Linked DNA regions of Sus scrofa. The protein of the gene in region 3 purifies or fractionates together with the protein of the main gene of each other region. This does not show direct contact. Links are inferred from orthologs where the notes say so. Each region holds a gene or a part of one and is shown on either strand. Other genes may lie near its edges. The genes, in order: ANKRD54, PLCG2 and LYN.

Region 1 (2,346 bases), on a different chromosome or scaffold from region 3:
GAACCATGTCTGCAACCTACACCACAGCTCATGGCAACACCAGATCCTTAAGCCACGGAGCGAGGCCAGGGCTTGAACTCGAATCCTCATGGTTCCTAGTTGGGTTCATTAACCACTGAGCCACAAAGGGAACTCCTGGACAGTCTGTCTTTACTATAGTCAAATGCTTCCTCGGAGAGGGCTGGCCCTGGTGGGCCTTCCCTTCAGGCTTCCCACTGTGGTGGACCTCTGGGGGCGCTGCCTTTTGCTTGTCTGAGCCCCAAGGGGAAGGTCTTTTCCTTTGCGGATTGGGGGGGCTCCTTTGCAGTGAGTTCGTGTGTGTTTGGATTTTTTTTCTTGGCCGTGCCAGCAGCATGCAGAAGTCCCTAGGCCAAAGACTGAACTTGCACCACAGCAGTGACCTGAGCCACAGCAGTGACAATGCCAGACCCTTAACCCACTATACCACCAGGGAACTCCTACAGTGAATTTTTGAGCCTTCACTAGCATGTTAGTTTCCTGTTACTACTGCAACAAATTACTAGAAATTTAGTGGCTTGAAACAACACAAATTTATTCTCTTACAGTTCTGGTAGTCAGACTAAATCTGTCTAACTGGGCTAAAGTCAAGGTGTCAGCAGGCTGGTTCCTTCTGGAAGTTCTGAAGGAAGAAGCCATCTTCTTGCCTCTTCCAGCATCTGGAGGCTGCCTGCATTTCTTGGCCTGTGACCCCTTCTTCATCGCATTAATCCAACTTCTTGCTTCTGTCACCATCACCTCTGTCGCCATCACCGTATCTCCTCACTGATCCGCTTCCCTCTAATAAGGATCCTGTGATTATATCAGGCCCGCCTAGACAATCCAGGACAGTCACCTTGTCTGAAGACCCTTAATTACATCTGCAAAGTCCCTTTTGTCATCGAAGGTAATGTCCACAGCTTCTTGGGATTCAAACATGGCCATTCTGGGGGCCACTCCTCAGCCTGCTACAACGAGGCTGCAGAATGGCTACGCCCTTCTGGGGTTTCAGTGATTGGGAGAAAAAGGGCTGGGGGTTTTCTGCTTTGGGTTCAGTCGGGTCCTTGCTGGCCTCGTATCTCTAAGGTCTAGGCCCCACCAGCCCTCCCCTTCCAACTCACTGCCACGTCTCCTCGCAAGTCGGCTGGCCAGTCTAAATCTAAGTGCTGGTGAGAAGTACGGGGCCGGCCGAGAGGCCCCCTAGGCCACAGGGTGCCTGCCCGAAGCCCAATCTTGCTGGCTGCAACCAGGGGACACAGGGAAGGGTCTGGGGTGGGCTGGGGGTGCCAGGGAGGCGAGGGGGGGCCTGCTAGGACATCGCATGTTGGTCAGAGCCGAGGTGTGGCTGCGGTGCCGAGGGAGCCGAAGGAGGAAGCCGGGGCTGTGGTCCCGGCCCACAGAGACGCTACAGACCCCGGCGGGGAGTGGCTCCGAGGTCGGTGGGGGAGCATCTGCAGCAGCTGGGGGGCGAGGCACCGGGCTTTTCCTCTGTGATGAGAGCGCGGGGGCAGTGGGGTGGCGGCGGAGCGGGAAGGCGGGGAGCCTCTCGCTACCTCTTCTCCATGTCCTGCATCTGCAGGCTGAGGGAGGTGAAGCTGGCCAGGAGGTCGGTCACTTCATCCACCTGAGGGCGACACCGAGGCTGTTACGGGGTGTCCCCGAGCCTCCCCCACAGCTCCACAGGCATGGAGGGCCGGTGCTGTCTGTCTTCCCAGGGCCTGTGGTGGCTTCACGGTGACTAAGGAACAGCTCTCGAGCAGCCTCAAAGGCAGCAGACAGATGCTTCGCGGCCCGCAGCCCTCAGAGCGGGGGGAGGGTGCTGGCCCCGCGGCTCCCGCGAGGCCCTGGGTCGGGGCCTGCAGCTGCGGCTCACCTGCTCCTTGGTGCTTGTCATCTGGAGGCGGGTGCAGAGGTCGTCCAGCCGCTCGCGCTGCTCATGCCGCCCCAGGCGCTCCAGGTACTCCCGCAGCATCTGGATGATCTGGAACGAGAGGGTGGCCTGAGCGTGTACGAGGAGGCGCAGAGAGGCTGCTGCCGAGGGGCACAGAGGCACAGGTGCCAGCTGGGGTCTGTGGGAAGTCACCCAGGGGCCCCGTGGGGGTTCAGGCAGCACCTGTCCAGGGCTCGCTCCGTGCTGATCTCAGCTGAGAGAGGTGCTCACCTGCTTCACCTCCAGCCGCACAGCCTCGAGGCAATGGGAATGGCCTTCCTGCAGGATGCTGAGCTTTGACTTAGCCAGGTGCAGGGGCGTGCGGCCAGCCCGGTCCAGGGCATCTACACGGGCCCCTGTGGAGCAGGCAGAGGTAAGCGTGTTGGGATGGGGCAGGCAGAGGTGAGCGTGCTGTTGGG
Region 2 (3,377 bases), on a different chromosome or scaffold from region 3:
TTTCCATTGCACCACAACGGGAATGCCCAATTTTTTTTCTTTAGCATAATATTTTGCTAAATATTATATTTTGGTTTAGACAACCTCAGGGTTTACGAGTAGGGCATGTTTCAGTCATGGCTGGATCCAGGTGCTCTCCCAGTGGCTCTATTTCTTTCTCTATATGAATGACAACACAGGGACCAGTAGCAGCAGGAAACATTCGTCACTCTTTCTGCCAACCCCCAAGAGAAGCAACTGTCTTTTTACCAAGAACACCAACCCAAGCCCTGTGGATACTATCTACCTGGAGATAGGTGTGGCAGGGGAGTAGGTGGTTACTATCAGCTAGAACTGAGTCACATGCCCATCTCTAGGGCATAACCTATGTGACGTTGGCTCTTTTGACCAGAGGAGAATGAGGGTAGTATTTGTTGAGATATAATTCATCTGCTGTACATTTCACCCATTTAAAGCATACAATCCAGTGGTTCTTAAGTCTATTCACAGAGGTGTAATCATCACTATGACCAATTCTGGAACATTTTCATCACTCCCAAAAGAAACTCCTGCTCCTTAGCTGTCTCCACTCCCTCCACCCTCAGGCTGCTGTCCCCTCACCTGCTGTGTGCCACTGGAAGCACACAGCCTTTGCATTTGCATGAGAGCCACAGGAGACAGACCCATGAGAAACCAGATTTAATGAAGAAATAGGATCAGACAGCAGTGCATTTGTTTTTTCAGTGTTTCATAATAAAGTTACCCCTTCCTGTGCACCAGAATTTCTTAAACTGCTTGCTTCCAATGGACTAAATCATGGTGAGCGTATCTTTGGTTAAAATTGGCCCTGGCTTTTCTGGGAAAATCCCAGCAGATGAGCAGATGCGCCCCAGGCTCCCTGCACTCACACCCGCCCGGGGCTGCCGCCCACGCTGCAGTTTTAAGAGACCAGCCCCACATGGTTGTTTTGCCCTTTCTCCTCCAGGAGAGTGAGGAGGAGCTCTACGCCTCCTGCCGCCAGCTGCGGAGGCGCCAGGAGGAGCTCAACAACCAGCTCTTTCTGTACGACACACACCAGAACTTGCGCAACGCCAACCGGGATGCCCTCGTCCGAGAGTTCAACGTCAACGAGAACCAGCTGCAGCTCTACCAGGAGAAGTGCAACCGCAGGTGGGTCAGCCCCACCCCACGGGTCCCCTGGCCAGGGCTCTGGGAAAGCCTCCGTCTTTAGACCGCCTCTGGCACCCTGGACTCTTCGTCCCTTTGCTTCGTAAATTACGTAGAGTCACATCTTAAGCAGCTGCACTTTGCCTGAGTTGAACTGTCCTCGGGAGAATGGCATTTCCATCTACCAGGGAGAGCCAGCCACGGCCACGACCCTTTAAGGAGCTTTGCTTGAGATCCCAAGCATGGGCTGGTCCAGGACTCCCCACCCCCCTCCCCAACGGGGATGCTTCTGATCGGGCTGCAGGCACACAAGGAGGGCCAGCCAGGATGCCACGCTGCCCTGGCCTACAAAGAACTCTCCCCAAGAAAATGCCCTGGAAACAGCGTGGAGCCTCCTTACCCATGTTATTCTCATTGCCTCTTTCTACACCTCCAGAGTAGCAGCGCCCAGTGAGCAAACAGATTCAGAAAGGGTACAGTGCCGGGGGCCCACCTCTCCGACTCTGCCCTGTGCCCTCCAGCCCTGAATGTCCCTCAGCTGTGTGGCCGGAGAAACGCTGGCCTTCAGCCCTTGGCCCCTGTCTGAGACTAACAGTGAAATCTGCTTGCCCGCAGGTTGAGAGAGAAGAGGGTCAGCAACAGCAAGTTTTACTCCTAGAAGCCGCGGTGCGTGCGCGCACGGGCGCGTTCACACGTGGGAGCATGTGTGTGCCCGGGACGGGCTCATCTGGGACGTCATCCTCCCCTCAAGCCTGTCACCCAGACGACCTGTCCGAAGAAGACCCAGCTGGCATGAATTGGGCGATTTCCTGCTAGTTTTTTCATCTCGGACAAATCTCTTAACTTAGAGTCTCTTTAGAGGATGCCCAAAACGTGCTCGCTCGTGTTTGGCCTCGCGTGTTCCAAAGTCACTGAATAAAAAAGCATGAAAAATCTCGATCAGTTAAAGCTTCTGTGCACGACCTGCAGAGTGAGCAGGACTCCTTCTCGGGCCTCTAACGACCCAGGTAATCGACTTCCTCAGAAGATGAGCCCCGGTGTGTAAGGAACTCATTCATTAGCTTCCGGAAAGGATTCTCACTAAAAGGCAAAGGATCTGACAATTAAGGCCATCGGATTTCACCAGGGCCCAGAGGAGCCCTCGCCCTGCCCCTGTCAAAGCACTTTACCTACCACCGGCTGACTAGCCGGCTGGACAGACCCGCGCTGTGCCTGAGAGGGGCTGGGGGTGAAACCTGTTCATTAAGATGGAGACTTGCTTTGTGACTGGAGCGAGTGGGGGTCAAGGGTAGAAGTCTTGGGGCCTCTTTGAATACAAAGCCCATCAGCGATCAGAGCCCCTAAAGGTCAGCCAGCTTCCTCTCACCCCTGCTCTGTCCACACAAGAGCTGGCTGCACAGCCACCAGCCGGCTCGGGGGCGGGGGGGTGGGGGGCAGTTCTCCTCAGACAGGGGGTCACTGACTGATTAAACGAGGTGAGGCAGGTTAAGGCTCTCTGGCTTATCCAGTTTCCTGGAGCAGCGAGCAAAGCCTTAGCAAACTACAGAAGAAATCGCCGCAGCAGCCCCCACCCAAGGGGCAGGCCCACCTAAGCCAAGATTCAGTTCCTCTGCCTCGTGAGATGCAACTGAATGACTTGTGCAGAGGGATGATTTAACAAGGCTTTTTAAAGGCGAGGATAGGGTGGGGTGTGGGGGCAGGGGAAGGGGCAGGAGAGCCACCACTTGGTCAGAGTGGATGGAGAAACGACTTGGGAGAAAAAAAGTAACTATGAGGAAAAAGCCATCATGTTGGGAAAGAACAAGGTAGCCGTGAGCCTGGTGGCCTTCCCTGGACAGGCCTGTGTCCTAGAAACCCATTCAGCCCGCCCCTTGTTAGCCTGGGCTTGGCGTGCATGAGTTGCGAAGGGTACCTTCAAACCGGCCACGCGCTGTTTGATCTCAAAACCCCACCCCTTCGTTCTGCACAGGTTATTCAAGTATTTCCATACACCAAGCTCTATGCCAAAGTCCAGGGCTACAATGTCTAAAGGAAAACCAAGGAAAAATAAGAGCCAGGGTTCCTGGTCTCATGGAAGCTATCCATTAGCTTATAAAAGAAATGCACTGTATCTTCCACGGAGCCGGGAGTATACCTAACAGCAGCCTGACCACGGTAGGGCTGTAATGACTTTGTTATTCCTTGTCGAGTTGCTGTTTTATATCTGGCACTTGGCAACTGACGGAAGATAT
Region 3 (3,654 bases):
ATATTATTGTCTCCCTTGAAGTATATAATCCATTGGCTTTTCTATATTTATATTTGTGGGACCATCCCTGCCATCAATAACTGGAGTGTTTTCATGGCCCCCAAGGAAACCCCATACCCATTAACAGTCCCATCCTGCTCCCCCTTCTGCTAAAGCAGCGGCAACAGGAGAGGATGGGCAAAGCTGTGATGCCAGGGGCTGAGATTTTAGAGGGCAAACCTCTCTCACAGACCCCTGGCTGGGGACATGACACGACCACGAGGAGGCAGAGGCTGAAGAGCCTAGTTTGTGCTCTGCTGGGGCCAAACAGTTTCCAAAAGCCATTTACCCTTTCTCTTTAGAAATCACGACTGTTCTCACTCACGCAAAGCTGGCGTGGAGACTGTGATCCAAGAAAAAGAGCTGTTAGAAATTCTTATTCCAGGGGTTTCCATTGTAGATCAGTGGGTTAAGAACCCGATATTGTCTCTGTGAGGATGTGGGTTCGATCCCTGGCCTTGCTTAGTGGCTTAAGGATCTGGTGTTGCCATAGTCTATGGCGTAGGTTGCAGATATGCTCGGATCCAGCTTTGCTGTGGCTGTGGTGTAGACCTGCAGCTCCCCTTGGACCCCTGGCCCGGAAACTTCCATATGCCGAAGTGCAGCTGGAAAAAGAAAAAAAAAAAAATCTTATTACAAAGGGAAAGGAATTCACGTTCACTATAAAAAAAACCTTAGAAAAGACAGGTGGGTAAAAAGAATTCCCTGGGGGAAGCCACTGCTGGAATTTCGGTGAACTTCTTGCCAGCCTGAGATGGCAGCATTTAATAATAAGGAATGCTTCACTGATGATGGAACTTTGAGCATCTTGAGAAAGTTTCTTGGTGAGAAACCACAGTATATGTGAGGCTCTCTCTTCAGCTCCCTAGTAAGGATGGTCCTAGCCCAGGGCCACCCTTCCCTGAAATGCAAGCATGTTCCGGTACTTATTTCACGGGTGTATCCAGAGAGTCTGGTGATGAGAGAATCGTGGAAGAGAAGACAGAACCACCAGCATAAATGCCACTGCCCACTTCCTGATAAACATTCCTCCTGAAAGAGAGTTACCAAGTCACAGGAAGAGGTAGAATCTAATCTCGTGGGTGTTGTAGGTGAGTCCTTGGCACCAGGTGGACAAAAGGAAACAAAAGTAGCCATACTTCTGAGAAAACGGACAGAAACGGCTGGAGTTCTTGCGTCTCCCACCATCACCTCCAGAGGGGACTCTGTCTCCCACACACTCACCCATCCAGACTTCCCCGAACTGCCCAGCGCCGAGCCTCTTCACCAGCTTAATGGACTCCCGGGGGATCTCCCACGCATCTTTGTCCCATGGCTTCTGTGGTTTGGGGCTAATGCACGCCTTCTCCAATCTTCTGCACAAGCCATCCGACTGCTCTGATTTGAAGGAGAGAGTAAACGCGGAAAAGGTGATCCTTTGCATTTTACCAGCATCTGCAGAGACGTCTGGACGATCCATCTTATCATTTCCAACCCGCCAAAGTCTACAAACCTAAAATACTCAAGGGGGTATCTTCTGTGTAATAACATAACATTTGAAATTCTTTTTTTTTTTTTTTTTTTTTTTTTGTCTTTTTGCTATTTCTTTGGGCTGCTCCCTCGGCATATGGAGGTTCCCAGGCTAGGGGTCGAATCAGCTGTAGCTGCCGGCCTACGCCAGAGCCACAGCAATGCAGGATCCAAGCCGCATCTGTAACCTACACCACAGTTCACGGCAATGCTGGATCGTTAACCCACTGAGCAAGGGCAGGGACCGAACCCACAACCACATGGTTCCTAGTTGGATTCGTTAACCACTGCGCCACAATGGGAACTCCACATTTGAAATTCTTAAGTGAAAGACAATTTAAGACAGACTGGATTGTATTCACCAGGAATGCTAATCTATAAAAATTAAAAGCAGAATGAACAGATAAATAAAGACAGACAGGTGGTCACACTTAATAAAAGTATCATCACCGAGCTCATGTAAGCTCTTCAGGGCACAATGCTGGGGACTTGGTTGTGTCACCAGGAGACCCTAGCTCCACAAAAGGGCCAGGGCTCCACAAGCACTCAACGCACGGGGCTGATGAACAGAGGGTGGGGGTAACGGGGGGCGGGGGCACCAAATCCGGGGCACTTGCTCTCTCCATACTGTGGGACCTAGGCAAATTTTATCAGGCGTGTTCCCTTAGAGCAGGTGGAAGAAATAAGCAGTAACAACAGCTGCCCATCACAGCCAAACTCAAACCTAAAGGCTGGTTGTGGGTTCATCAGAGCAGTGCTGGAGAGCAGTCTGGAATTGGAGCTGATGGGCCACTTCTAAATAATTTGGTGTTTGGGGGTTATTTCTGTTTTCTGTGACCAGGAGTATCTATTACTTTTACACACACGTACACATATATACACTAAGACACATCCACAAATCGGCATTCCTAGTCTAGACATTTAAAGATGCGTTGTAAAAAAGTATGTACGATGCCAAGATAATATTCATTACTTTCTTTGTAATTCTGGAACAGCAGCTGTTAAAACAGCACAAATCAATGGGAAGGTCTGTGATAATTATTCATAAAGACCCAAGCTGACCCTGAATGTATACTTATAGTTTCATTTAGAACCAATTATAATCCTCCAGCTTTATCCAGAAGAAATATGACACATACAAAAAAAATTTTTTTTTCCTTTTTTTTTTTTTTTTGGTTTTTTAGGGCCACACTCGAGGCATACAGAGGTTCCCGGGCTAGGGGTCAAATCGGAGCTGTAGCCGCTGGCCTACACTGCAGCCACAGCCACATCTGTGACCTACACCACAGCTCGTGGCAATGCCAGATCCTCAACCCACTGGGTGAGGCCAGGGAGTGAACCTGTGTCCTCATGGATACTAGTCGGATTTGTTTCCGCTGAGCCATGATGGGACCTCCCAAAATTGTATTTAACATAGTATTTGAAGTCCTAGCCACAGCAATCAGACAAGAAAAACAAATAAAAGGTACCCAAATTGGAAAGGAAGATATAAAACTGTCACTATTTGCAGATGACCTGATACTATACATAGAAAATCCTACAGACTACCAGAAGCCTAGTAATCAATGAATTCAGTAAAGTGGCAAGATACAAAAAATTGCAATATAAAAAAGTATTGGACACCATATAGTTATAGCTTTTCCTGTCTGACCTTGTGTTGTCACTTACTTTGGTAATACTTAATCATGTCACTGATACAAGGAAAAGTGATTCGTGGGGAGATGTAATAACCCCCATTGTCCAGGCTTCTGATTTTGTAGTGCTTAATAACATCTCCATGCACCGGGTCGTAATCTCTGACCGACAGAGAGTAACTTCCTGAGGGGGAAGAAGCACAGCAATGATTACACTGATGTTCTGTAAGTATGATAAGCATTATACACACCATGGTAAACCCTTTTTTGCTTCCTTTTTTTTTTTGCATTTTAGGGCCCCACTCTCAGCATATGGAGGTTCCCAAGCTAGGGGTCAAATCAGAGCTGTAGCTGCCATCCTACACCACAGCCACAGCAATGCAGGATCCAAGCCTCGTCTTCGACCTACACCACAGCTCACGGCAACGCCAGATCCTCAACCCACTGAGCAAGGCCAGGGACCAAACCCGAG

The links.
Region 1: the proteins of LYN (region 3) and ANKRD54 purify together in Homo sapiens (affinity purification with mass spectrometry; 3 studies listed by BioGRID and IntAct, with this or other methods). This does not show direct contact. The link is inferred for Sus scrofa from reciprocal best matches to the Homo sapiens genes LYN and ANKRD54.
Region 2: the proteins of LYN (region 3) and PLCG2 purify together in Homo sapiens (affinity purification with western blotting; 3 studies listed by BioGRID, with this or other methods). This does not show direct contact. The link is inferred for Sus scrofa from reciprocal best matches to the Homo sapiens genes LYN and PLCG2.

The regions. Positions count from the first base shown.
Region 1 is NC_010447.5:10,015,922-10,018,267, reverse strand, and holds the end of ANKRD54 (ankyrin repeat domain-containing protein 54), read right to left. Parts: intron 2,284-2,346; coding exon 2,159-2,283; intron 1,979-2,158; coding exon 1,871-1,978; intron 1,622-1,870; coding exon 1,547-1,621; 3' UTR 528-1,546; downstream 1-527. UniProt on the Homo sapiens protein: Plays an important role in regulating intracellular signaling events associated with erythroid terminal differentiation.
Region 2 is NC_010448.4:6,435,832-6,439,208, reverse strand, and holds part of PLCG2 (1-phosphatidylinositol 4,5-bisphosphate phosphodiesterase gamma-2), read left to right. Parts: intron 1-964; coding exon 965-1,149; intron 1,150-1,761; coding exon 1,762-1,804; 3' UTR 1,805-3,377. UniProt on the Homo sapiens protein: The production of the second messenger molecules diacylglycerol (DAG) and inositol 1,4,5-trisphosphate (IP3) is mediated by activated phosphatidylinositol-specific phospholipase C enzymes. It is a crucial enzyme in transmembrane signaling.
Region 3 is NC_010446.5:75,839,107-75,842,760, forward strand, and holds part of LYN (tyrosine-protein kinase Lyn), read right to left. Parts: intron 3,367-3,654; coding exon 3,217-3,366; intron 1,417-3,216; coding exon 1,264-1,416; intron 1-1,263. UniProt on the Homo sapiens protein: Non-receptor tyrosine-protein kinase that transmits signals from cell surface receptors and plays an important role in the regulation of innate and adaptive immune responses, hematopoiesis, responses to growth factors and cytokines, integrin signaling, but also responses to DNA damage and genotoxic agents.